4 linked regions of the Caenorhabditis elegans genome follow. The protein of the gene in region 3 purifies or fractionates together with the protein of the main gene of each other region. This does not show direct contact. Each region holds a gene or a part of one and is shown on either strand. Other genes may lie near its edges. The genes, in order: C44E12.1, arx-7, noa-1 and apy-1.

Evidence for each region.
Region 1: the proteins of noa-1 (region 3) and C44E12.1 fractionate together in Caenorhabditis elegans (co-fractionation; one large-scale study listed by BioGRID). This does not show direct contact.
Region 2: the proteins of noa-1 (region 3) and arx-7 fractionate together in Caenorhabditis elegans (co-fractionation; one large-scale study listed by BioGRID). This does not show direct contact.
Region 4: the proteins of noa-1 (region 3) and apy-1 fractionate together in Caenorhabditis elegans (co-fractionation; one large-scale study listed by BioGRID). This does not show direct contact.

The regions. Positions count from the first base shown.
Region 1 is NC_003284.9:7,594,422-7,601,521, reverse strand, and holds C44E12.1 (Peptidase M20 dimerization domain-containing protein), read right to left. Parts: upstream 4,596-7,100; 5' UTR 4,565-4,595; coding exon 4,486-4,564; intron 4,442-4,485; coding exon 4,319-4,441; intron 3,495-4,318; coding exon 3,390-3,494; intron 2,977-3,389; coding exon 2,858-2,976; intron 2,814-2,857; coding exon 2,721-2,813; intron 2,327-2,720; coding exon 2,056-2,326; intron 2,007-2,055; coding exon 1,741-2,006; 3' UTR 1,698-1,740; downstream 1-1,697. Other genes in the region: twk-17 (Potassium channel domain-containing protein), read left to right, coding at 199-395, 441-576, 806-832, 1,056-1,157; A disintegrin and metalloproteinase with thrombospondin motifs adt-2, read right to left, coding at 6,729-6,880.
Region 2 is NC_003279.8:3,068,127-3,073,189, forward strand, and holds arx-7 (Actin-related protein 2/3 complex subunit 5), read right to left. Parts: upstream 2,025-5,063; 5' UTR 2,015-2,024; coding exon 1,930-2,014; intron 1,846-1,929; coding exon 1,724-1,845; intron 1,622-1,723; coding exon 1,370-1,621; 3' UTR 1,199-1,369; downstream 1-1,198. Other genes in the region: pign-1 (GPI ethanolamine phosphate transferase 1), read left to right, coding at 1-96, 903-1,124; M01B12.4 (Ensconsin), read right to left, coding at 4,113-4,145, 4,740-4,846.
Region 3 is NC_003280.10:13,537,011-13,543,579, forward strand, and holds the start of noa-1 (G domain-containing protein), read right to left. Parts: upstream 3,869-6,569; 5' UTR 3,812-3,868; intron 3,213-3,811; coding exon of another isoform or gene 2,987-3,212; coding exon 1,893-2,986; intron 102-1,892; coding exon 1-101. Other genes in the region: Y48E1B.17 (PIG-P domain-containing protein), read right to left, coding at 2,980-3,212, 3,869-4,061; ddl-2 (WASH complex subunit homolog 1), read right to left, coding at 5,825-6,489.
Region 4 is NC_003284.9:7,567,641-7,573,412, reverse strand, and holds apy-1 (Apyrase apy-1), read left to right. Parts: upstream 1-3,690; 5' UTR 3,691-3,692; coding exon 3,693-3,803; intron 3,804-3,849; coding exon 3,850-3,993; intron 3,994-4,109; coding exon 4,110-4,174; intron 4,175-4,242; coding exon 4,243-4,357; intron 4,358-4,431; coding exon 4,432-4,950; intron 4,951-5,031; coding exon 5,032-5,145; 3' UTR 5,146-5,272; downstream 5,273-5,772. Other genes in the region: pcyt-1 (Putative choline-phosphate cytidylyltransferase), read right to left, coding at 1,037-1,056; Zinc finger protein unc-98, read left to right, coding at 79-189, 420-488, 1,278-1,412, 1,455-1,637, 2,441-2,773; vps-52 (Vacuolar protein sorting-associated protein 52 homolog), read right to left, coding at 5,418-5,564, 5,617-5,735. UniProt on the Caenorhabditis elegans protein: Hydrolyzes UDP and to a lesser extent GDP. By preventing the accumulation of NDP, may promote the reglucosylation of incompletely folded glycoproteins in the endoplasmic reticulum following the unfolded protein response.

The sequences.
Region 1 (7,100 bases), on a different chromosome or scaffold from region 3:
CACTTTCCCACTCAAGAAAAGCAATTAAAAATAGTATTGCAGTTCCTATGTATTTGTTTTTCACAAAAAATATCAAATTGAAAAGTATTTGTGCATTCAGTGTCTACAAAGTAAATGTGAAATGCACTTTTCAAGATACCACTACTATTCTCATCAACCTGAAAAATTATATTTTCCGGAATTTACAAAATTTTCCAGCTCGCGGTATCTTATGTAATTATCGGTCTTGCTGTCATCACTGCATCACTGGATCTCTGTTCCTCTACACTGAAACGAACATTTACCAAACTTCACTACTTTGGAAGAAAGATTCGTGGTGCTCGACGTGGTTTTGCAAATATGAGCGATGACATCCGAGAAGCAATGCGAATAATTGCTGCGTTGAAAAAGACAAGGCAAATTGTATAAGCCAACGCGAAGAATCAAACATTTTATTTCAGGCCATCGAAAGATCGAATAACTTTGGAAGACTTGAAGCGGTTCCTTGAAGTTCAGGAGCATCTGCTCCGACAACCATATGTCCCTTATAACGTTCACCTCCTTCGATGGATCGAAGACAATGTTGGTCCACAGATGGTAAAACAATTCGAGATTAGATATAGAGTTTGAAACTGTGATTCAGCTTCTTGTGGTTTATTTTATTTTATTTTTATGTTCATTTTCATTTTAATTTGCATTTTATTTTTGTAACGTGCACGGAGTAGTATCGGGTGAAAAATTATATTTGTATGAGAGCACGCACAAATTTGTGTGTTTTTGTGCACAATAATGTTATTTTCAATTGAGAAATTCAAAAAATTTTCAGAAAAATGAGTTTTCCCTAGCAGAACAAGTAAGTTGGTTTCAAAAAGCTAAAGTCTGGTGTACAATTGTTATAATTATTTTTTAAATCTGGAATGAACATTTTCAGTTCATACTTTGAAACGAATTGACGCTTATTTTCATATTTAAAACTTCTAGCTGTGAAAACTCATAATTTTGCACCCGCAGACGTTATCTCGATTGTTTTTGCCGGTTATGCAGATTTGATCAAACGTTATCATATTTTATTTCAGTATGCACAATACATGGATGATGTCTCTGGAGGTAAAACACCAATGTCCCCATCTCGTCTGTCTCACAAAATGTCCTCCAGCGACCCGATGCTCTTTTTCTGATTTTGTTTCCGAGTTCCCACTTTCAAACAAATTCCCCCCGTTCTACTGGGTATGCCACTTTTGATATCAGGTTTTTTTTGCTTACCGTTATTTAATCTTTAGAACGTTTTTGTGTTTTAATTTTAGCCAAGTTGGTTCCACCGTTCAGTCGTAAAATTTTGAACTTTACTATCTACTGTCGTATCGCTGTTTATAGTAGGAACTGTCCACTTAAAAATCTTTCAAAAAACGTTGGTGATTTATGTTTCTGATATTTAAAAATTTCCCTAAATTGTTCTTTAGACTTTTTCCGTTTCAGTTTTTTTTTCTCTGATGATTGTGAATTTTAGCCTAAAAAGAATCTCCTTCAAAGTTGATCAGATAACAGTATCCTTTCTTTTTCCAGCTTTCTCATTTCCAATTGTGATCTTATAGGGTTTTCATCTTTTCTATATGTTTTTTGAATATTTTATCACTTTGCTATTTTCTCTTTTCTTGTTCTTTTTTTTCAATTTTTTTCGCGATTTTAATTAAAATTATCTAACAAGAATAACATCCATTGAATGAAAAACTACATTTATTCTTCTGCAAACATATCCGAAAGTTAATAATGTTCCAAATACAAATGATTCACTAGTTTGACAAGAGTTGCGGTGCACTTATGAAGCTCATCCTTTGGGATGAATTCGTTTTTGGAGTGAGCATTTTTGATTGAGCCACCACCAAAAAGATACTTCGCTTTCACCTTATCTCTTGCGTCAAAGTATGCAATATCTGTGTTAAATGAAACGTGGTCTAGCTCTGCTTCAATTGGAGGAACGTCGAGAATAACTGGGTCATTAAAGCTGAGCAGGCTCACTTCTGCACGACCTGAAATTGAAAAACATGAAAAATGATTTTCCAGATCTGATTTCATTACCATTGACCAATGCTAAAAGCTGATTTTGAATATCCTTCACAGAAGTTACTACACGGAAGAAAATGTCTGCTTCACAGTTTGCCGCCCATGCGTTCAAAGCTTGACCACCAGAGATTTTCCCAATGTTATACGTGGTAGCTCCGTTGGTTGCGTCGCATGGCCATTTAGCAAGTTGCACATCATGAAGAACTTCTATCATTTTGTGAATAGCACTTGAACCGGAGTTAGGGTAGCCCGAATGTCCTGCTTGGCCAGTGACGGTCAATTTCACCTGAGCATGGTACGATGAAAATTATTTTGCGCATAGTGCTAAGTTCATGGCGAATGGTCAATTAGATATTCTAGGATATCATTTAATACAAAAAAAGATAAAATTTACAATGTTAGATTCCCCAGTATCAATCGTTTTGGCATATTTTTCATGCGCTAGGATGTCTCAAGGCAAAGAATGATCTGGAAGATTTTTTAGTAAGTCGTAATTTTTTGAGAAAAAAAACTAGTTATTTCTAATCCTTAAAAAAACATATTCGGAATCTAACTTAAATTAAATTTTGAAACAGATACGGTAGAAAATAGAAGCAACATGTGGTTGTGTGACTTAATGTCTATAATTTTTTATAACAAATTAAAAAAGCAAATATAATTTAACATAAATTACTGCTCACTTTCAGAGCTCCCTTTTGAATTGTCCCGAACTTCAACTCCGTTGGCTCACCAACCAAAAGATATTCAGGTAGGATTTCTAACTTGTTTGCTTCCTGGAATTTTATCTTAAACCTAGAGTTACTAGCAAACCCCTTACAATCATTCCAATATGGTCGAATTCTTCGCCAACCACAAAAAGTAATCCCAATGCCCTTGCCACATCCTCATCTGTCTTTGAAATAATAGTGGCAGCCGTGACCATCGCAGCCAATTGTCCTGTAACAGCTTTGTCTTGTCACTTTTTCCCTCAATTTGCAGGGATTTTTTTCAATCTTTCAAAGTACAAGGGTCGTGTTGTTTTGGTAATTATCCCCTTTTGGAAAAGGTTTTTCATGCTATGATCAATCTCACTTATACCGACGGTAATGGACAATCGCGAAAATTTTGGACATCTCTGCAAAACTTTTGTCCAAGTGTGTATGTCTACCGCCAAATAAAATGAATTGAACAAAGTTCACTCGCGTAAAACAGGTGTCATCTACTGTTATACGATTGGATGCACGCTGCTATTGAGGGGTATTAAAACAGTTTTTCTCGCAACATTGCAGAACACTTGGGAACAAGAATCAAGTGACCGAAGGTCATTTCCGGTAAGACACAAGAAAAAAAGTGAAGCGTCTGAATAAAACCTTTAGCATCGTTCGACCCGTTTCCATAAATGTTCTGTTCGTCCTGGGTTGGTGGAAAGTACGGAGGAACTGTGTCCAAGTGAGTGTTTAGTAGCACTTTGACATCTGAAATGAATAAGAGTTTTTGATTGTGTTTATTTTCAAGTGCATACTTAGTTAACAGAGTGTTTTTTTTTTCATTAGAAAAAGCAACAAAACATTTTTGATCGTTATGTTTTTTTTGGCAAAAAATGGGTTGACTGAATTGAAAGTCCTACATTGAACTAAAAGTGATATGTCAAAGGATAGATAGAACATGATCAAAAAAAAACTGAAGCGTCTCGCTTTTCAGAAAAAAAAAACGGAAAATCGGGAAGATTGAAACTACGGCATCTACATCTGAGCCGGAAACTATTATTGGCAACCGTACAAAAACACTTATGATTATTGAAATGACTATTAATTTTTTTTAACCGAAAGTTAGTACAAAAATATGGTAAACTGTTCGATTGATGCGAAAAAAAATCTAATTCTTGTTGAAAAATTATTAAATTTTTCTAAAAATTCTAAATCAGTCTTATTAATTATGTTTTGGCAGTGTAAATTTTGTATTCTCTCCTGTTTATTTTTATCAAATATCATAAAGTATAAAAACTCCAAAAATTGTAAGATTTTTCTGATGTTTTTGAGCGTTAATACAGGTTCAATCCAAATGTAGTCGGAGTTAATCAAAACTCGTAAAAGATACACTTTTTTTGGTCGACTTTAAAAGTTGTAATAGGAGAAAACTGAGTTATATTTAAACTGTAAATCACATTAATGGGCTTTTTTTAAAGGTATGCTATGATATTTGGTCTTTTTTCATTTTAGAACTAAGAGTGGTTTCCAAAAATACCCAATATTTCTCCCATCCAGCAATATATCTAATAACCAGTAGTTTTAAATCTCACGTTTTGGGTCAGAATTCCGAAATGTTGCATAAATGTTGTACCGGTCTGAATTGGGAATGCTCTGTTTATACACTGTCCATCCGTTCTCTTCAAGATCTTTTGCAACAACATCAGCAAATGCAGCTAAAAATTCTCTAAAATTATGAAGACGATTCTAATTGTTGAACCTTCATTTCCCGTAGTGGACGAGTGGCTCATGTACTCAAGGAGTCGCTTTTCAACTTCCACTTCCCATTTGATTGTCATCGTTCACGTTACTGGCTAATAGACACGGATGCTGCAAGAAATAATGTTTTGTTAACATCATCGCGAAGATAAGTGTTCAATGAGATCTGACTTCTGTCTTCAGATCTTCTCACAAAGAAAGGCTACTGTTTTCAAGAAACCGTTTTGTCGACGCCGGTCTTTTCAAGGTCATTTCTGGACCATGGAAATTGAATAGGAATATCACAGGAAGTGTAGAGATGAGATTGAACAGTTTGATTATAACAGGTTTTCAAAATGGAACCACATCGTTAAAAAATTTGTAAACTAGTCAGATAGGCCAGAGCATGTTTTAACAAACGTTCGCAGGCAATACGCAATATTTAAAATGAAAATTAATGCCTGTTGAAAGTAGCGAAAAATAATGATAAATGTGTGTGATATTAATAGGGTATTTTTCCTTTTCTACCCCGCATTTTTTCTGCACATTTTCTTTAATAAAAACGTGAACTTTATGTGTATTTTAGGCTTAGTAATTTTGTTTTCTAAGCCTAAAAATGAAAATAATATTAAAATGAACATTCACGTGAGAATTGAATTCGAATAATTCAATGTTTTGAATATTCTTTTAAAAATGCGGGGTAGAAAATGAAAAGTACCTGATATAGATATGAAAACAAAAATTGAAAATCACAATATCACGCAACCTCATGTGATCGACTGATAGTATGTCTTCATAAAACTGTCACGACGCCTATTGTTATATTATACGACCGCAAAAGTAGGGCATTTCCGTTGGAAACGAAAGTAATAAAAACTGTTGTTCCCTCTTATCTTCGGACGGGGGGCAATTTTTGATTGATTTCATGCAAACACATAAACAATTTTCAATATAATATACTTGATATTCTTCGTGCTTTCCATATCATTGAAAAAATGAAAACACTATCTTCCAACAGAAGCATCGTACATACTGTGGTCTAAACTATTAGTAAGATTGGATGTAGGAAAATGCACGTTCACATAGATTTTTCACAAAACAACATAGAAACACTGTCTCATTATTTTTTAATAAAAAGTAACATCTTGCCTGTTGAACAAAAACTGCCGAGAACGAGGAATTTTTGATATTTTGTAACTACAGTCTTCACGAGGAGTCAGAATGTTTTCTCTCCTCTATTCAATCTACATAGATTGCGCCAACCCACACATACGCTTGTCAACTTTTTCAACTTTTCATTATCGCATGATAAAAAAATTTTGCTCTCACTTTTCTTTTGGGTACTAAATTCGCGCAATTTTGGAAACCCTAATTATGCGTTTGCTCCGTTTTAGAAAGAACAGCGGACAGAGATCGAGTACCGCGAAAGAACAATCAACTTCGTATTTCTTATATCGTCTGCGTCTCGTTCACTCACACAATACTGAAGCACTAATCCCAACGTATTTTATCATGGAAAATTCAAGAGTTTTTATATGTAGTTAATCATAGTTGAACCATTGAAAATATTTTTGAAATTAAGTTTACAGTGTGCCTTTGCTTTCCATTCAAACGATCATACAATGAACAGCAACAATTCAGATTATCATTCGAATTAATTCATTATCACATAGACTGTTGCAACACAGAGAAACGGATAACGTTACAAAATACAAATATACGTATTGAGAAAATCAATTCGTGTCAATATATCTAAAGAAAAAACTCAATGGTGTGACAATGTTCTATGTGAAATCTCAGTTCTATAATTTTAAAATTTTCAGATGAAAATACTTTTATTAAATTTCAAAACCCGTAGTTATGAGGCGACCAGTGATGGTCTAACAAGTAGAACACTCAGGGAACAATACCTATATCTCGACAAAAAATAAGTGAAAAGAAACAGCAAAAAAAAAATAAAACGATGATGATGATTGGAAGGAATGATGAAAAGTACCGATTGCAAGTAACGTGACATAGATAACTAAAAGGGATCAGGTTCAGGAAGAGGAGACAAAGCAAATGAGCAACGACAAATGAAGGATGTTGTATTTACATGGAAAGGTGATAGATGGGTTGAGCCAGTGAAAAGAGCAAAGAGTGTGAGAGAGAGTGAGAAAAAAGACAATAAATACAACATTAAAGAGGAGAAGACAAGAAACGTGTTATTAAAATTATTCGATCAGACTTTTGGAAAAGATCGTATAATTTGTTTCCCTTTCGATTTTAAAACTTTCTTCGGAAGTCGCAAACACGCAAATTACAGTATTGCTTTTCGTATTGTTGACCGTCGCAGTTACCACTTCCATAGCACTTTCTTACACGTTTACGAACACCGTCGCCACATGTTTCACTACACGATGACCAGTATCCCCATCCTGAAAAAATAAATATTATGTTTTTTTTCGGTTTTATGTGTACATCGTGGAATAACATAAGGAGGAACGTATTACACCATGAGCGTTTTGTATAATTTGTATTTGATCAAGTTTGCCTGACCCCAACAATTTTTTAAAAATATGTTTCAATGTACGCATCGGACACTTTTTGTTTGGGTGTGTTCCCGTTTCTCTATCATTTACAAGTTGCATCCTTCCT
Region 2 (5,063 bases), on a different chromosome or scaffold from region 3:
GTCACATCGGCTTTTGCTTCCATAGTTCGATTTGATCAAGAATCCATTCAAAGACTCTGTTGTTTTTCGTTGATATTCACTGATTTTATGTCGATGGTGAGCACGGCTGAAAAAAAAGTGAAAAAAAAACCGAAAAACTTTTTTTTTCGACTGCGAAAAACCGGAAAAAAGCCAAAAAACTAATTTTTCAAATTCGAAAATCAGCATTTTTTTCTCGAAAAAACGAAAAAACCAAAAAACTTGTTTTCAGAATTTATTGCCGAAAAAAACGAGAAAATTTTTTTAAACGAAATAACCGAAAAACCAAAAATGAACGAAAAATCTAAAAATATGAAAACACGAAAAAAAAACTTTTTGACAGCAAAATTTCGTTAAAAAATTTTTTTCGGAATTTATGAACAAAAAGCGAATTTCTTTTCAACTGCAAAAATTCGGAAAAAAGGCCAAAAAAATAATTTTTCAAGCACGAAAATGGAAAAAGCGGGATTTTTTTTGAAAAAAAAAAACCAAAAAATTGTTTTTTTTCAAAATTTATTTGGGAAAAAATCGGATAAAAAAGTTTTTTAATACTAAAAAGTAAAAAAGCGAGAATAAAACCCAAATAAATTTGGAAAATTTTTAAAACGAAAAGTTGAAAAAAAATTTTCGACGGCAAAAAAAAGGAAAAATATTTTTTTTCGGAAATTAAAAAATGTTTTTTTTCGAAAAAAAAACTTGTTTTGATAAAAAGATGAAAAAGCGAGAAAGATTTTTTTTTGGTAAATTTGAAACATTTTTTTGGAAAACTTGAATATTTTAATCAAAATTAATCAACATATTTAATTTCGAATAAAAAAATTCCCGATTTTTTCAGTAAAAATTTGTTTGAGATTAATTCCGCCTAAAACCCCGTGCATTTTCAGTGTTTCTTCCACCAACTTCGAGATGAGGGTAGCTGGTTGGATATTGGTATGAGCATTTCTCAATTCATCGTTTCAATGTGCATTTCTCTTGCTCTTCTGCTACTTCTCTCGATTTCCAGTCATCTTATGGCATTTGAATTCCGAAAATTTCCTGGAAAAAGAAATCACCAGGAAATCGAATCGATCTCTTCCCGGAAGTTATCCGACGACGAATCTGCTTAAATAATTTTTTTCAGATTTTTAATTGTTATTTTTCAATTCGTGATGCCATTTTCAATCGTGTGATAGATACTATTCCGTGGTGCTTTAATTTATCTTTCAAAAACTTTTTCGAATATCAGAAAGAATTAAAATAAATATCATCATAAAGCTTAAGGCGAAACAAAAAATATTCAAAATTCACAAGAAACATGTGGAGAGCGATGGGGGAATGAATATCACAGCAAACACAACGATTCGGGAATAAATCAGAGACGTTGGCGACCGGAGAAGACACGCATAATGGCTCCGTGACCGAATTTTGCGACGAGTTGAGCGTGCCACGCGAGCAAAGACTGACAGACGGCCGCGTCGGCGCCGATTTCCATTGATTTGTAGACGTATTTCATGAGAATATCACTTTCTTCTATCGAAAGCTTCTGGACAGTCGCCTCGATTTCCGCGTTTTTGAAGGATTGCAGAACTTTTGTGACGAGCTGTGTGGCGCGGTCTTTTACGTTCTGAAATTGAAAATTTTTCTTTCTGTCTCTTCCCTGGCCAGCTTAAGCCAAAACCTAGGCCTAGGCCTATGCCTAAGCCCAAATAAGCTTATTAAATCTCACCTGATCTTTGGTTTTAAGTGGCGGGGAGAGAAGAGCCGCATGAAGAGCATCCTCAAGCCGATTCGAGCTCAAAAATCCCTGAACCGCGCGCTCATCGGGTCCAAGTCCAGGAGTATCGACTGCTAAAATTAAATAACAAATTATTTATTCAAATGCACACGAAAAATCAATAATTTCCGCGCGCCTTAAGTACACAAATGACTCACTCTCGTCATTCTCATCGTACTGTTCCGGGTCGAAAGAGTCCACATCCAGCTTTCGGTACGAGGTGTTTTGCATGTTTTTCGACATTTTTTCCTATCTGAAACAAGAGATTTTTAAATGAAAATGTGGCGCGGTGGATTTGAAAATTGCGAAAGAAAAATAAATCGGTTAGCTTGTCCGAGAAGAGTACACAGTGGCACTAAACAACACGCGCATGCGGAATTACGGAGCTTCGTAGTTAATTTTTTTTTTTTTTTTTTGGTTTTATTAAAATTAATAAATATCTCGAAAAAAAGAGTGTTTTAATGTGAATTTTCCTTTTGAAAAAAAGTGAGAAACAATTATTCGGGATTAGATTCATTTAATTTTATCGAAAACTCCTCCATTTTGGGACTTTTATCGCCATTTTCGTCGAAAACTCTGAAAAATTGGCGAGAAACAGCGTTTTGGGAATATTCGTACCAAATAAACGCTATTTATTCTTGGATGCCATTATTTCTAGAAGCTCCTGAAATTAATTTCTATGATTTTCAAGCAAAACCTTCAAAAATTGGGGTTTTTTCGAATTTTTCCAAATTTCCAATTTTTGAAACAAATACATCAATTTTTTAGTAAATCCCCATATTTTGGAGCTAAAAAATTTGAAAATTTTACAAAACTGTTAATTTTCCGAGCGAAAACTTTAAATTTCCAATTTTTGAAGCTGGAATTTTGAATTTTTCAGAGGAAATTTTAAAAATTACATTAGTTGGCAAAAATTCTAAGTTTTTTCTTGAAAAATGTGTGCGTTTTTTACAACTTTTCCGGTTAAAAGCGACAATTTTTATCGCCAAAAACACGAAAAAGCCTCAATTTTGTGAGAAAACCCGCTGAAAATCTGCTAAATTGTGTGTGTTTTTTTTCAATAAAGAGTAGATTTGGTGAACAGAACGATTTATGCACTTTTTCCATAGTCATATATAATAAAAATTTGAAAAAAAGCTCCGTACCCTTCTTGGAAGGTTGAGATGAGACTAAAACGGCCCTTCAAGACCGTTCAAGAAGAGGACCGATCTCCGAGAAAAACTGTTCTTTTTGCGATAAAGAACCGTATGGGGGAGCAGAAGAAATAGATTATTCTCTGATTGGGAAGGGCTTTAAACTAGAAAACTCACCTTTCCCGAGAAGAAAAAATCGAATTTTTTGAATTAAAAAAATCCAAAACCAGAACAAAACAGAAGAGCAAATACACCAAAAAAAACATGGGGAAAAGATGATGAGCAATAGTTATCTATTTTACATGGATGCGATATAATACGAGCATATTCAAGATAATTGGGGAAATGGAAAGAGAGAGAGAGAGTACAGAATAGTGTACAGGAGGTGGGTGAGGAAGAGGATTTCAATGGAGAATAAAGCGAGTTGACATGAAGGCGGCTGAATTGAGACTGGAACAAAAACTGTCGAAATGCACTTTTGGATGGGGCAAGATCTGGAAATTATTGAGATTGGATTAAAATATTTAATTTTATTTTTTATAGACCCTATTTATGCTCCTGATCAAGGGTGTCAGTTTTTCGATTTTTTTTTCAAAAAATCGAAAATGTTAGTTTTTCGATTTTTCGATTTTCCGATTTTCGAAAAAAATTCGCTTAATATTTTGGCCATTATCCTTCTTTTTAGAAGAAATTTTAATGTTTTTTCTTACCAATATAAACAAAATTAGATAAAAAATCATATTTTATGGTAAATTTTCTGAACATTTTTTTCGATTTTTCGATTTTCACCGAAAAACTTCGAAAAATGGCACAAAAATGACACGCTCCTGATACCGAATTTTAAAGTGAAAAAATTCCTCAAAAAAAGAGCAAAAAATTTGTAACAAACTTTTTAAAAATCTAAAAAATTTTCCAAAATACCCAAAAAAAATTGCAATTTTTTTTTCGAAAAAAAAAATCCAAAAACACTTTTAAAAAACTGTTTTTAATCGAATTGGCGTCTCTGGCGGCAAAATTTGCCGTTTGAATTTTTGAATTTAAAACTAGAACCAATGGATTTTCGGATTTTCAAAACAAAAGAGTTTTCGTGTATTTTGAAAAAAAAAACTGAATTTTAGTCGGAAAACTTATTACCGTAATGAAGAGAAACCCGTAAGCAATGAATGAAAACTGGAGAGTTGATGATGATGATGAACTGTGATGGATTTTTAGTAGATTTCACCGCCCGTCGATTCAGATGTCTGGAAAATTGAAAATTTGTTAAATGCGAGAACAATTGGAAATTGATTTTTTTTTTGATTTCTCGGATAAATTCGACTTTCTTGAAAAATTAGTTTCTTTTAGAAATTTTTTTTTTGGAAAAATTGGAAACATTAATTTTTTTTGTAGAAAATTGTGGTTTTTCTAATTTGAAAATTGGAAAATTTTTGTTTTGGAAAAAATATTTTTTCGGTTTTCGAAAAATTTGTTTTTTTTGTTGGAAAAAATTTGTTTTTCAAAAAGTTTTTTGGTTTTTTTGAAAATAATTTTTTTTTAAAAAGTTTTTTGGAAAAAATGTGATTTTTTTACAAAAAATGTTTGCTATTTTTAAAATAAATTGGTTTTTTTTCGGTTTCCGGAAAATTCAACATTTTTTTGTTTAAAAAATTCGATTTCTAAAAAGTTTTTTTGTAAAGAACCCAATTTTTAAAAAGGTTTTTTGAAAAAAGTTGATTTTGAAGCATTTTGGAACTTTTAAAGTTTTTTTTTTGATTTTTCGAGGAAATTAGTTTTTTTTTAATAAAATTTTTTTTTTGGAAGAAAAAAATATTTTTTTGGTTTTTTAGAAATTATACCTGAAGTGACGGATTGCTGCCCTGCTTGCGCTGTAAAATCCTTTGCAACGAGGACGAGTTGGTCATCGCAGCGACACGGGCGAGCACATCATTTGCTCTTCCAGACTCTGAAAAATAGAAAAAATTAATTTCAATAGGGATTTTATGCATATTAATATATCAACAACAAATGGTAGCTGGGTTGGTTGGTTGGTGAAAATCAAATCAAAACTGAAAAATACGACAAATCATTAATATTAGGTCTCCAAATAAGTTCCGGGTCGAAAATCATAATTTTGTTCGCTGCGAATCGATTTTTATGAAACTGTGGGAATTTATGTTATC
Region 3 (6,569 bases):
CTAGCTTAACATTCGTATACTTCAAATAAATTTCAGTGATGAGCTCCTCGATTCCGTATCCTGTCTTGGCACTGACCAACGCTGTGTGGAGGATGTGGAAGCTGGAAATTTTTAAACGGCTTTTTTGGGACGTTTTTTTTTTGATTTTTTTTTTCGAAATATTTTCTGTATTATATATTTGAAAATTTTAATTTAATATGAAATTACAAAATTATTATGGTTTTTTTTCTGTGAATTAAATAATTCTTATACAATTATAATTTTTCTTTTCTGGAATTAAAAAAAAAAAATTATATGCGTTTTTTTTTAAATTTGCTTACAAAAAAGTAAGCTTTTTTTCTAAATTTGTCTGATATTTTCCAAAAAAAAAAAATCAAATAAATTCGAAAAATTATTTTTTTTTTAATTCCAAAATTTGATTTTTCAAGAAAAACATTATTTTCCTGAAAAAGTTCAGATAAATTCGAAAAAAACTTTAATTTTTTTAAATAAATTTCCAAAATTATTTGGCAAAATTCACAAAAAAAACAATTTTTTTTTCAAAAATAAAAACATTTTTGTCTTTTTTCTTACAAAAATTTCAGATATTTTTGAAAAAAAAATTTTTTTTTCGAAACTTTATTTATTTTTAAATTTAAATTTAAAATTAAATTCTTTTAAAAATTAATTTTGACATTACAGAATTATTCTGAATTTGAAATAAAATCAATAACTTTAAAAAATTCGTTTAGAATTTTTTTAAAAGATTGATTAAAATTTCCAAACTTTTTTTTCAAATTATTTTGAATTAAAAAAACCAAGAAATTTCCAGATAAACTTGTTCCGGAATTTTCTTAAAATATTCAATAAATTTAAATACCATTTCTTGAAGTTTTTAAGTTACACAAAAAATTAAGTTTTTTCTCGAATTTTGTCTGATATTTTCCAAAAAAAAAGCAATTTTTTTTGGAACAATTTTGAATTTTATTTAAAATTCCAAAATTAATCGGCAAAATTCAGCGAAAAAATTTTTTTTTGCGAAAATTGTCTGATTTTCCAAAAAAAATTGTTTTTTCTGAAAAATTCCAGATAAATTTTTTTCTAAATTTTTTTTTCTAAATTCGAATAAGTCTTAGAAAAATCAGAAAAATTCAAATATTGTATTTTTTCCAGATAAATTCGCAAAAAATATTTTTTTTTGGGAAATTGCCGTATTTTCCAATAATTTTCAACCTAATCCGAAATTTTTTTTTTTTGGAAAAATCTGCTGAAATTATTAATAAAAAATCAACATTTTCCAGAAAATTTCAGTTATTTTTGACATAAAAAAACACTTTTTATTTTAAAGGAAAAAACATGGAAATTCCCCAGAAAAAAGTTTAGGCTTAAAAACATTTTTTTTAGGAAAGAAAATCTTTAATTTTCAGAAATTGTCAGACATTGAAAATTATTTGAAAATTTCAGAAATTTTCCGTGATTTAAAAAACAACCAGAGATTTTCTGAAAAAGGCTGGAAATTTTAATATTTTCAGATTTGTGGTGCCACAGGCTGTGTGTCCCATTACGGTTTGATCTACAAAAAATGAGCGGGAATTTTTTGCCCAAAAAAATGTGACGTCTGCACGTTGAGAACTCTGCGTCTCTTCTCCCGCATTTTTTGTAGATCAACGTAGATCAAGACGAAATGAGACACCCCTTAATTTTTTTTTAGTTTTTTGCCAAATTTTTACGATATGTGTAGCTTTAAAAAAATAATTTGAATATTGAATTCCAAAAAAAAAATTCGCTTTTTTATATTTACAATATACAGTTTTTACGAAAATTAAAATTAAGTTAAATTTTTTTCCAATTTTTTCGAAATTTCTTTTTCGTAGATCTACGTAGATCAAACCGAAACTAAAAATCCCGCGTACTTCTCCAACAATCCAGCCTTCTCGACAGCTCTCTCCACCGTCTTCTTAAATCTCCACATATAACCCGTCCGAGCGTCAGGCGGCAACAAGTCCACCTTATTCCCCACCACAATCATCGGCCGACGGCTTCCAACAACCGACGCAAGCCTCGGGTAGATGCTTCCGGGAAGATCCGTAACATCAACGACAAGCACCACAAGCGACTCGGGCTGCTTCTTAAGCTCGCCCATCATTCGAGTGTAGTCCACATCGCATACATTGACATTGAGCAGAAAATTGTGCTCCTGGAGCAGGTGACACCGCTTGCAGAGGCTCTGATCTACAGATCTTCTGTCAATCTTCTCCAAAATCTCCAGAGGCACAAATCCCGGCAGGGAGCTATCTTTACAGTGGAAATTTGCTCCGCACCCCGTGCATTTTCGCGAGCTCGCCGGGATCTCCTCATCGACAGTTCCGATCATGCCAGGTTCGGAGCTCAGATCATCCGATAGATCCTGATCCTTCCCTGATCCTTCTTGAAGCCCTTCAGCCCTCTGCCCGGGTCTTTGGAAGGAAATGTGCTCTACAGCATCATCACCGCCAAAGTATTCCCGGGTGGCTACCATCCTGTCGCCGGGGTCCAGGTCTAGAGAGCTTCCCGCCACGTATTCGTCGACAAAGACGTCAGCTTCAACGTAGAAGCCTCGGTCTGAGGAACCTTCGGTGGATCCTTCAGCTTCAGCTTCGGAGCCCTGAGCTTTTGAAGCTTCAGCTCCAACTGAAACCGACTTCAATGGGAAACTAGCAGCTTCTCCCTGATCTCCCCGATCCTTCACAGCTTCAACCTTCGGCGGAGCCCTCTTCTCCAGAATCTTCTGATAGCTGGGCTCCTGGCTGAGCATCATCTCGCCGAGCATTGACTCTGTCGAATATCTAGAAGCACCGGGATCCCGAAGATCCCCCGAATTCAACTGCTCCCGTTCAAATTCCGACCATCTTCGGTGAATCTCGCCGACTTGGGCGGTTCGGTTGATCTTCAGACGCTTCACCGCGTCCAGCGTCTTCTGGATGTCCCGACGTGTGCTCAGGTATCGGATTCCACAGGATCTTAGCATTTTTTCGCTTTTTTCGGGCTCTCCGTAGAGCTGCTGCTCAAACTATCGATTGAATTGGATTTCGAGCGTTCGCCGAAATCGTTGGTGACCTCCTGAACGTTATCAAAGATTCCGTAAAAGTTCCAGCAGTTGATCAGAAAAATTACGGTGACGTAGAGGCAGGCGGCCGTCGGGAAGAAGATTCCGATTGCGAGAGCCCAGAGTTTTGATGGGATGTACGTGATTCCTGGAAAAAGAAGGGAATTTTCGGGAAAAAGTTTGTTTTTTTTTGGGTCTAACTGGTTATAAGATGCAATTTGGCCATTTTTTTTAGAGAAAAAAAAACCAAAAATTCGGGTTTTTTTATCATAATTTTTGTGTTGAAAAATTGCTAAAATTTAGGGCGTTTTTTCAAAAAAAAATAAAAGGATTTTTTTGCGAAAATAACGGAAAGAACGGATTTTTGTTGTGAAAATCGGAAAAATTTGGTTTTTCCCCGAAAAACGAAAAATAAAAAAATTGTGGAATTTCAAAAATTTCCTAAGCCTGAAGCCTGAAGCCTAAGCCTAATGTCCAAGCCTAAGCCTAACCTAAATAGCTAACGCTCGCCACTGACGCCAAACATATGCTTAAGCCTAAGCCTAAACCTGAGCCTAAGCCTAAGCGTAAGCCTAAAGCCTAAGCCTAAAGCCTAAGCCTAAGCCTAAGCTTAAAGCCTAAAAAAAAATAGCCTAAATTATTGAAAAATACCGAATTTTTTGATTTTTTTTTTTTAAATTTTATTACGAATTTTAGGTCTCGCCGCTACTATGATTTTATTTTTTTCATTTTAGAAATTAAGCAAACTTTTTCTTTCAAAATTCAAAAATCCTGTGAATTTTTTTCCCAATTTCTCCGCCGTACCCAATCGATACAAAATCGGGACCGGCGTGATCGCCCAAATCAGGTAGATCACAAAAAGTGTCCAGGAGACGATGTAGAGAGCAAATCCGTAGATTCCACGAGCCGGATGGGGTCCTGGGAGATGGATTTCTTCAGATGGTAGTGGGGTTTTTGGAGTTTTTTTGGTTGTAGAGGAAGATTCGGTGGAGGTCATCCGCCGGAAAGATCTGAAAAATTGAGGAAATTTTAAATAATATATATATAGAAAATCGAAAAAAAGCGTTTTTCAGAAAATATTTTAAAATTCGAAATAAATTGTTTTTTCTAATACCAATTTTTTTTTTAAAAAATAAATTCTAGTTTTTTAGGAAATTAAAAAAAACTTTTTTAATTTTTTCACCATCAAAATTCAAAAAAAAGGTGTCAAAACTTCAAGAATTTGAAAAAAAAATTTCACAAAAAAATTTGAAAAATCGAATTTTTTTAAATTTAAAATAAAATTTTCGAATTCCAAATATTGAAAAAAAAAATTCCAATGAATTCCAGTTTTTAGGAAATTTCAAAAAAAAATTTTAGTTAAAAAATCAAGTAATTCCAGCGATTTTCAACGCAAAATTTCGAAAAAAAAATTAAAAAATTTCAGAAAAAAAATAGAGGCCAGTTTAATTTATACAAAAAAAAATCTAAAATTTCCCGAGATTTTGAAAAAAACGACAATTTTTACAAATATATAACTATTCTAACCGTATTCGATAAGAAAAATCTACAAACAACGATTGGGGCAAGTGAGCGGGTGGAAGGAAATTGATAAAAAATCACAGAAAAAAAAGTGAAAAAAATATGGAAAAATCACAGAAAAAAGGTAGGCAGGCAGGCAGGCAAGTAGGGGAGCAAAAATATAATTTTAAAATTTTGAAAAAATAGGGAAAAACGAGAGTTTTGGGAGCTGAAAATGGTGAAAAAAGGCTTAAAAAATAGAAAAATTTAGATTTAATTATTTAAAAAATCGGAAAAAAATTTCGGGAGGTTTTGAAGAAAAAATTGTCAAAAAAATAAATTGTTTCAACTTTTTTTAGCGATGAAAAAAATTATTTCCCGATTTTTTTGATAGAATTCCACCGAAAATTTCAATTTTAACCTGAAAAAATTCAAAAAAAAAGTCGAAAAATTGGAAATTTCCTGGAAATTTCTCGAATTTTTCAACAAAAATTCATGGAATTTCATGGAATTTTTTTCCATCATTTTTAACGGATTTTTTCCAATTTTTTTTCACAATTTCAGGCAGAAAAAATCGAAAAAATCAGTTTTTTTTTTCAGAGATTTCTAGAATTTTCCAATAAAAATATGTGAATTTCCATCAGTTTTTACGATTTAAAATTTGGGAAAAGCCCAATAAAAAACTGAAATTTTTACGTTTTTCGGCATTTTTAAAATAAAAAAAAGTTAATTTCAAACTGAGAAAATTCTTGGAAAAAAATCGGAATTTTTTAACTGAAATTTTCCGTTAATCTGCAAAATTTTTCAACCTAGAAATTTGAATTTCCGTCATTTGAAGCTAATTTTCATAATATAAATTTAGTTTTTCCTTCGAAAAATTTAATTTTTTAGAATATATTTAATCAATTTTAGACGGAAATTTCTCGATTTTTTCAATAAAAATTCGTGGAATTTGCATCATTTTTTCCAATTTTTTAAACAAATTCAGGCAGAAAAATCCGTTTTTTACAGAAATTTCTCGATTTTTTCAATAAAATTTTTTTCATGGAATTTCCATAATTTTTAACGGATTTTTTCCAATTTTTAAACAATTTTAGGCGAAAAAAATCTGTTTTTTTTTTCTGAAATTTCACGTTTTTTTTTCAATAAAAATTCGTGAATTCCCATAGTTTTTAACGGATTTTTTCCAATTTTTTTACAATTTCAGGCAGAAAAAATCAGTTTTTTTTCAAAAATTTCCGTCATTTTCCATCAACCATTTCAGTCCCATTCCTCATCATCAAAATTCGGTGGAGCCGGAATCGTGGATGAAACCTTGGCCGGCGGCTGGGCTTCCACTTTCCCATTGATCGCCTTCCTTCGTGCATCCAGTGCCTTCGACAATGCCGACATCAAGTCTCCACCACCACCACCGCCGTCTGGAGCTGGTGCTGAATTTCTCGGCGTTTCCGATGCTCCGAGAAGAGCCGACGACTCAAGAATCCCATCGAATTTCCCCTTCCGCTTCGGCTTTTCGGCAATCCTGCTGAGTTTCGCATTTCCAGCTCCACCGGCTGCTCGGATCGCAGCCATCAAGTCTGAACGGCCTCCGTCGACGGATTTCGTGGGGCTGAAGGTTACGGAGGAGCTTGCTGATGGGGTCTGCGGTGGAGGTGGAGGTGGCGGTGGTGGAGGTGGCGGTGGTGGTGCTGGAGGTGAGATGATCGGAGGAATCTCTGTGATCTCTACTGGAGTTGCAGCTGGCTGAGGAGAAGGATCAAGCTTCATCGGTGGTGGTGGTGGTGGAAGAATGAACGTCGTCGGAGCATCAGCTTCAGCTTCAGTGGGCTCCGATGCTTCAGGAATCTGATCATCTGCTGGAAGGATGTCTAGAAGCCGATCCTCATCGATTTCCGGGTCGCGGAGAGTGAAATCGTGGGCGTGGCCTGGAATTTGGATTTTTTAAAAGATTTTTGATTTTTCTCTGAAAATTTTGGTATTTCAAATTTTTTTAACGAAATTTTCC
Region 4 (5,772 bases), on a different chromosome or scaffold from region 3:
AACCGAGAGATGACGGAAAAACCGGAGAAAAACGCGGGGGTGTCTGTATTGCGAAATGATTAAAAAAATACCTTCCAGATGGTTCATGGTCTAGAAACCTTCGGCATCAATGGAGAATCGTCAGAAAATGGAAATAAGGAAAAGCCCAAAGAGATCATGAAAGTTGTTGCCCCAACAGTTGAAGCATATGTGAGTTTGGTAAAATTTAAAAAAAAGAATTTCAGAGATTGAAATGTTTGATAGGTTTTAAGGCAAATTTTTTTAAATGTTTTTAAGATTGGATTCATACTGACATTTTTCAACCCTTGGATACAAGTGAAAAAATGTTGAATTATCTGAATAGTGTCTGAAAACGCTTAAATACTTTAAAACAGCGCCATCCTAATTTGATTTTAAAAGCATCAAGTAAATTATTGTAGGTCGGAAGTTCAAGTGCTCAAACTCCAACAAAATCGAGTGGCGGTGCTTTGGATGGCAGTGATCAACAGGTTTGTTTTATTGTTTTTATGAAGTGTGTGTTTTTGTGCATTTTTTGTTGAATAGTTCGTGCTTTGAATAATTTTTAATTAAAAAAACATTGATTAGGAATGTAGTCTATAGGTTTGTACAGGCAAAATTTCCGGAGAAAATGAAACTATATTTTTTGAGTTGTTTGAGAGAAATTGTTAATTTTTTGCTGAATTTTAGATAGTTTAGAAAAGGTTTTATTTTCTAATTTTATAATTAGCATACTAGTAAAAACTTATTTGCCAGAATACACAAAGACAAACTCAGTTCTAATTTAATTTAAATTTAGCCCATTGTCGAAGTAACCATGTCCTGTACATTTGTTGGAAGAGAAAGCTCAGCAGGATGCTAAGAAGAAAAAAAAACAAATTATGATTTTTGTTGTTTGTGATTTTATTTTTCTCTTATCATTTTCAAATACTAACTTGGAATATAATTTCTTGCTGCTCCTTATGCTTTTTTCCTTCAACCTATCCATTTCCATTCTTCTCCTTTCCCAAGCTAATTCACATGGGTATTGTTGACTTACTCTTGTTTGTGAATAAACATTTTGCTGTTGTTGTTGAAGTTGATGCGCTCACTTTCAGCACACGAACCAAATGTGCGGAATATAGATGTGAGCATTGACAGCTTGAATGTGAAAGAATGAGGGAAATGGGAATAAAAGGAAGAAAAATATAAGATGAAGGAAAAACTGAAGAAGGGAGGGAATGAAGAAGGCGTTAAATGAAAAAGAGACTCTTTTAGTCGATGAAAAGTGATTATTGCAGGAAGTGCGTCAGGACGGAACTAGTGTGCAAAAAGATGACAACGGATTTGTATTCTACAAGTGTCGTTTCTGCGGACTCACATTCAACTTCATGAACACTCTCCGTGCACACGAGAGAATACATGACGTTTCACAGGTTTTCATTCGCTGGATTACTTATAGAAACTCTTTGTTTCAGCCATATGTCTGTGGAAAATGCGGAGACTCATTTGAATTTGCTTGCCAACTGGAATATCATGCCGCTCAGCACTCAGAAATTGACGGGTACAAGTGTGAATGCGGAAGGACGTTCTTTTCTTACACGGAAATGTTATATCACAAGCACACGGACGATCCACTCGAATTGATAGGTGCTCCAGAGGTTTGTCTAATTGAGAAATCTGAGAAATAATAAATTTACTAGATTTTACTAATCAGTAGAGCTTTTTGAAACAAAATCTGAATTACGAACTTCTCGGAAAAAAATCAACAGAATCTAGCTATGGCTGTTTTAATGTTTGATTTTTTATTCTTCAGTTCTTTCGACTCAAAATCTATCAAAACCTTTTCATCCAGCCATTCGCTTTTCAATTTTGTATTTGGTTTTCATAGTCCTTGATGTGAGAAAATTGTGAACAAAAACTTTGTGTGTCTTGGCTTTCTGACGTAAAAAAAATATTTTTCTCAACAAAAAAAAATTGCTGATAGCCTGTGAGAGGGTGCAATTTGATACGACTGCACTTACTTCTTGCATCACAACTGTTAAACAGATGGAATTTCAGTGCAAAAAAAAGAAAACGTTATGAAACAGAAGTTATGAAACCGAAGAAAGTTCCAAATTTAAAAACATGTTTTGGTCGTTTACCTTACGTTGTTTTGTTAATGAAGATACGTTTCAAGCAATTAGGGACCAAAAATTACCACAATTTGCTACCTAAGTCTTTGTGACTGGGAAAAATTGAAACAACTCGAGTTTTTGACTGAAATTTGGGTATTGCCTTTTCAAAATTTTGAACCCCCATAAACAAGTTTTTAAGTAATTTTTGAGAAGTAGTATTTCAAATTTCGTTCGTTTGGTTTTGTTAAAAATCACACGGAAAAAAAGCCGAAACCGTTTTTTTACTTTAACAAGGAATACATTTGTGAGAAGAATGAAGATTACCAATATAATTTGAAATACTTCAGACAACCACAATAAAAGTAAGCAAGAAGCGAGTCCTACCGGTCTCCGAGCAAGATCTTCCACAGCCAGCTTTCGTTACTGAAGGATACGAGCCGAAGCATCCACTCCGAGTGTACAACGACGTTCGTTCAAAACCATACATTTGTGAATATTGTTCGAAAAGCTACTCTGACAGTCGTGGTCTTGCATATCACATGTACAGTCATCGTGGAGAGAAGTACTTCAATCCTCGAGCATCTCGTTATATGATGGGAAGGGAAGGAGTTGGGTACACTGATTCCAGAAGCTACTATTTATTCCCAAGAACAAGCGGATACGTGACTCCGCGATTCTGAGCAACCCCTGAGTATTTAAAATTTTTCTAATTTAGTATTTAAATCTATCCAGATCTTGTAAAATATATATATATTTCAACATCGGCTAGCTTTAACAATATTTGTCCTTCAAAATGTATATTCGATATGGTTCTTTCATATAACTCATATTTCTTTCTTTCAACTAAATCAACGTTTTTCTTTAGTGTTATCGTTTTCTCATTTCTTGTCATTTTGTCTTTTCCTCACATTTTTAAGACGCTCGTTATAAAGACGGTCAGCAGCAGAAACTCGTTTTGTGTTCAACATAAACTACAATTGACTACAAAGCACAAAAATCGTGTGTTTCCAACGCACTCAGACACACTCTATAAATACTGTTCTCGTCATGTCTTGTTGGTATTTTCTTCTTTCCCTGAAATATCGATTCCTGGTCAATCGTACAATTGGGACCATGTTAAGCGGGAAAGACATTGACCGCTAGCACAAATGTTGTCCGGCTCTCTCACAATCAATCTTTCTTCTGTGATGTGTTACGACAACCCACAACCGATTTTTTGATAGCAAAAATGATAAGATGATGATAGCGAGACAGCTCAATTGTTCGTTGTTCTAGAAGTTGTACGTTTTTTTAAATTTATTTTGCATCATTTTGAATTCATTATTTAAAAATGTATAAAATTGTTTAATTAACGGTTCTCGAAATATTTTGCCACTTCACAGCCACGATATCTCACTCAATAAAGCAAATGCAATTTGGGACACGCACTTGTGTTCGTTATTAATATCGAGTCCCCATTGAAAAAACTAGGCCACGCGGCCGTGAAGTACTCTCGGAAAACTACACCATTTTTTATTTTTTTATTCTACTTATATTTTCTCAAATCTCTTACTTTCAATTAATGCTTATAATTAAGACTCACAAAAATAATTTTTAGGTATGACACAAGAAAGTAACTCAAACTTTTTCAACTTCCTTCTTTTCGGGTTTGTGACCGCTATTGCCTTTTATTCGGGTACCCAATTCAACAAATCTAGCGAACAGGAAGAGGTAACTCTTTACATTTTCAGCTGATTGCGCACATATCCATTTACAGCACATCAACCATGCTAACTTGTATTCGGTAAAGAAGTTTGATGATGGAGCAAAAGAATACTCAATAATGTTGATCACCGATTTGGATCATGACAGCAAAGACGGGAAGAAGTGGAAAAGTTTGGTCTCTCGTGGATTTTTGAAGGTGAGAAGGACGGCAAGAAACTAATGCATTATGCTCAGCTTGACCAATATGATTTTTATAAAATGCAACTTGCTTTTTTCGAATCGCTATAGGAAATTTTCAAATTTATATTTCAGGTTTCTGCAGACCACAAGCATGCCGATATTCATTTTGACAAAGACTCGGAGTACTATGTTGACACGTAAGTTTACAAAATGTGTTTTTATAGATTTTTTTGTTTTGACTTCATTACTAAAATCATCATTTTAGAAATATTGCCGCCGGTGGACGCGCTATGGAGTTGTCTGACCTTGCCGTCTTCAATGGTAAACTGTACTCAATTGACGATAGAACAGGTCTTATTTATCAAATTAGTGACAAGAAGGTGAGTGATGAGTGGTTAAACAATGATATTTGTGTAGTGGATTGATTTTTAAAAAATATAATATTGTTTTGAAGGCACTTCCCTGGGTATTACTGAACGATGGGCCAGGAAACGTCGTGAAGGGATTTAAAGGAGAATGGATCACTGTTAAGGATACCGAATTGATTGTTGGAGGATTGGGAAAAGAATGGACGACCACTGACGGAGTTTATGTGAACGATCACCCAATGTGGGTGAAGCATGTCTCTGCTCACGGAGCCGTTCATCACGAAAACTGGAAGGATGTATATATCCGCGTTCGTAGAGCTGCTGGGATCGAATATCCCGGATACATGATTCACGAAGCTGTTCAATGGTCTGCAATTCACAGAAAATGGTTCTTCCTTCCACGTAGAATGTCAAATGAGAAGTATTCTGAGGCGGAGGACGAGAACCGCGGAACAAACGTTCTTGTGATTGGAAATGAAGAGTTGACTGATTTTGAGGTTGTGCGAGTAGGATCGGAGAATAACAAATCCAGAGGGTTTGCTGCTTTCCAATTTGTGCCAAACACTCATCACCAGCTCATCGTTGCCATCAAGTCGGAGGAAAAGGTAAGTAACAGGTTTTATCTACACAATTTTAAAAACAAAATCCGTTAATCTCAATGCTCGGTTTATAAAATTGTATTCCAGGATGGAAAACCAGTAGCAAGTTATGCAAGTGTTTTCGACATTCATGGTAATGTTATTCTTGACGAATATCTTCTTCATGGTCCATACAAATACGAAGGAATTGCATTTGCCTAATCACTTCAATTAATGTATTTTTGTCTCAATTCCCACCTTCCAGTCAGGTCCAAATCTGTGTTCTCGATATTATGTGATTTTTGTCAAATACTATGTAATGGTTATTTAAATAAAATAAATATATAAACATTTTATTCAACATTTTTTGCATGCATAAAGCTGCCAGTGGGTAAAAATATATATAAAAAAATACTCAAGTAAGTGGGAATCAATAAATTATTTAATTTACAAAGTCTACACGGGAAAATAAAATAACATTGGCAATATTTTTCTTAATATGCTGGTTTGAACCGTTTGATTTCGAGCATCACTTGATGAACGTTGACTAACTGGGAACACACGGGATTTTTAGCAAATACGTCATGGGACAGAATCTTTGTGAATCTATTGATATACTGAACGTACTTTGTGAAGATTGTCTGAAATCATCTAGTTAAAACTGAAATTCGGCTCTAGGAAATAAATTTTAACCTGTAAAATGGTGGTTCCCAGGCTGAAGTTAGTGAAAAGTTGTATGCATTCTGAATTAATACTGTCCACTGCAGGTCTCCACTTTGCATTGAAGTTTGCTACCACCGTTCCAACTTTGTCTGAAATTAAAATATTAGAGAATAGAAAATTATATAT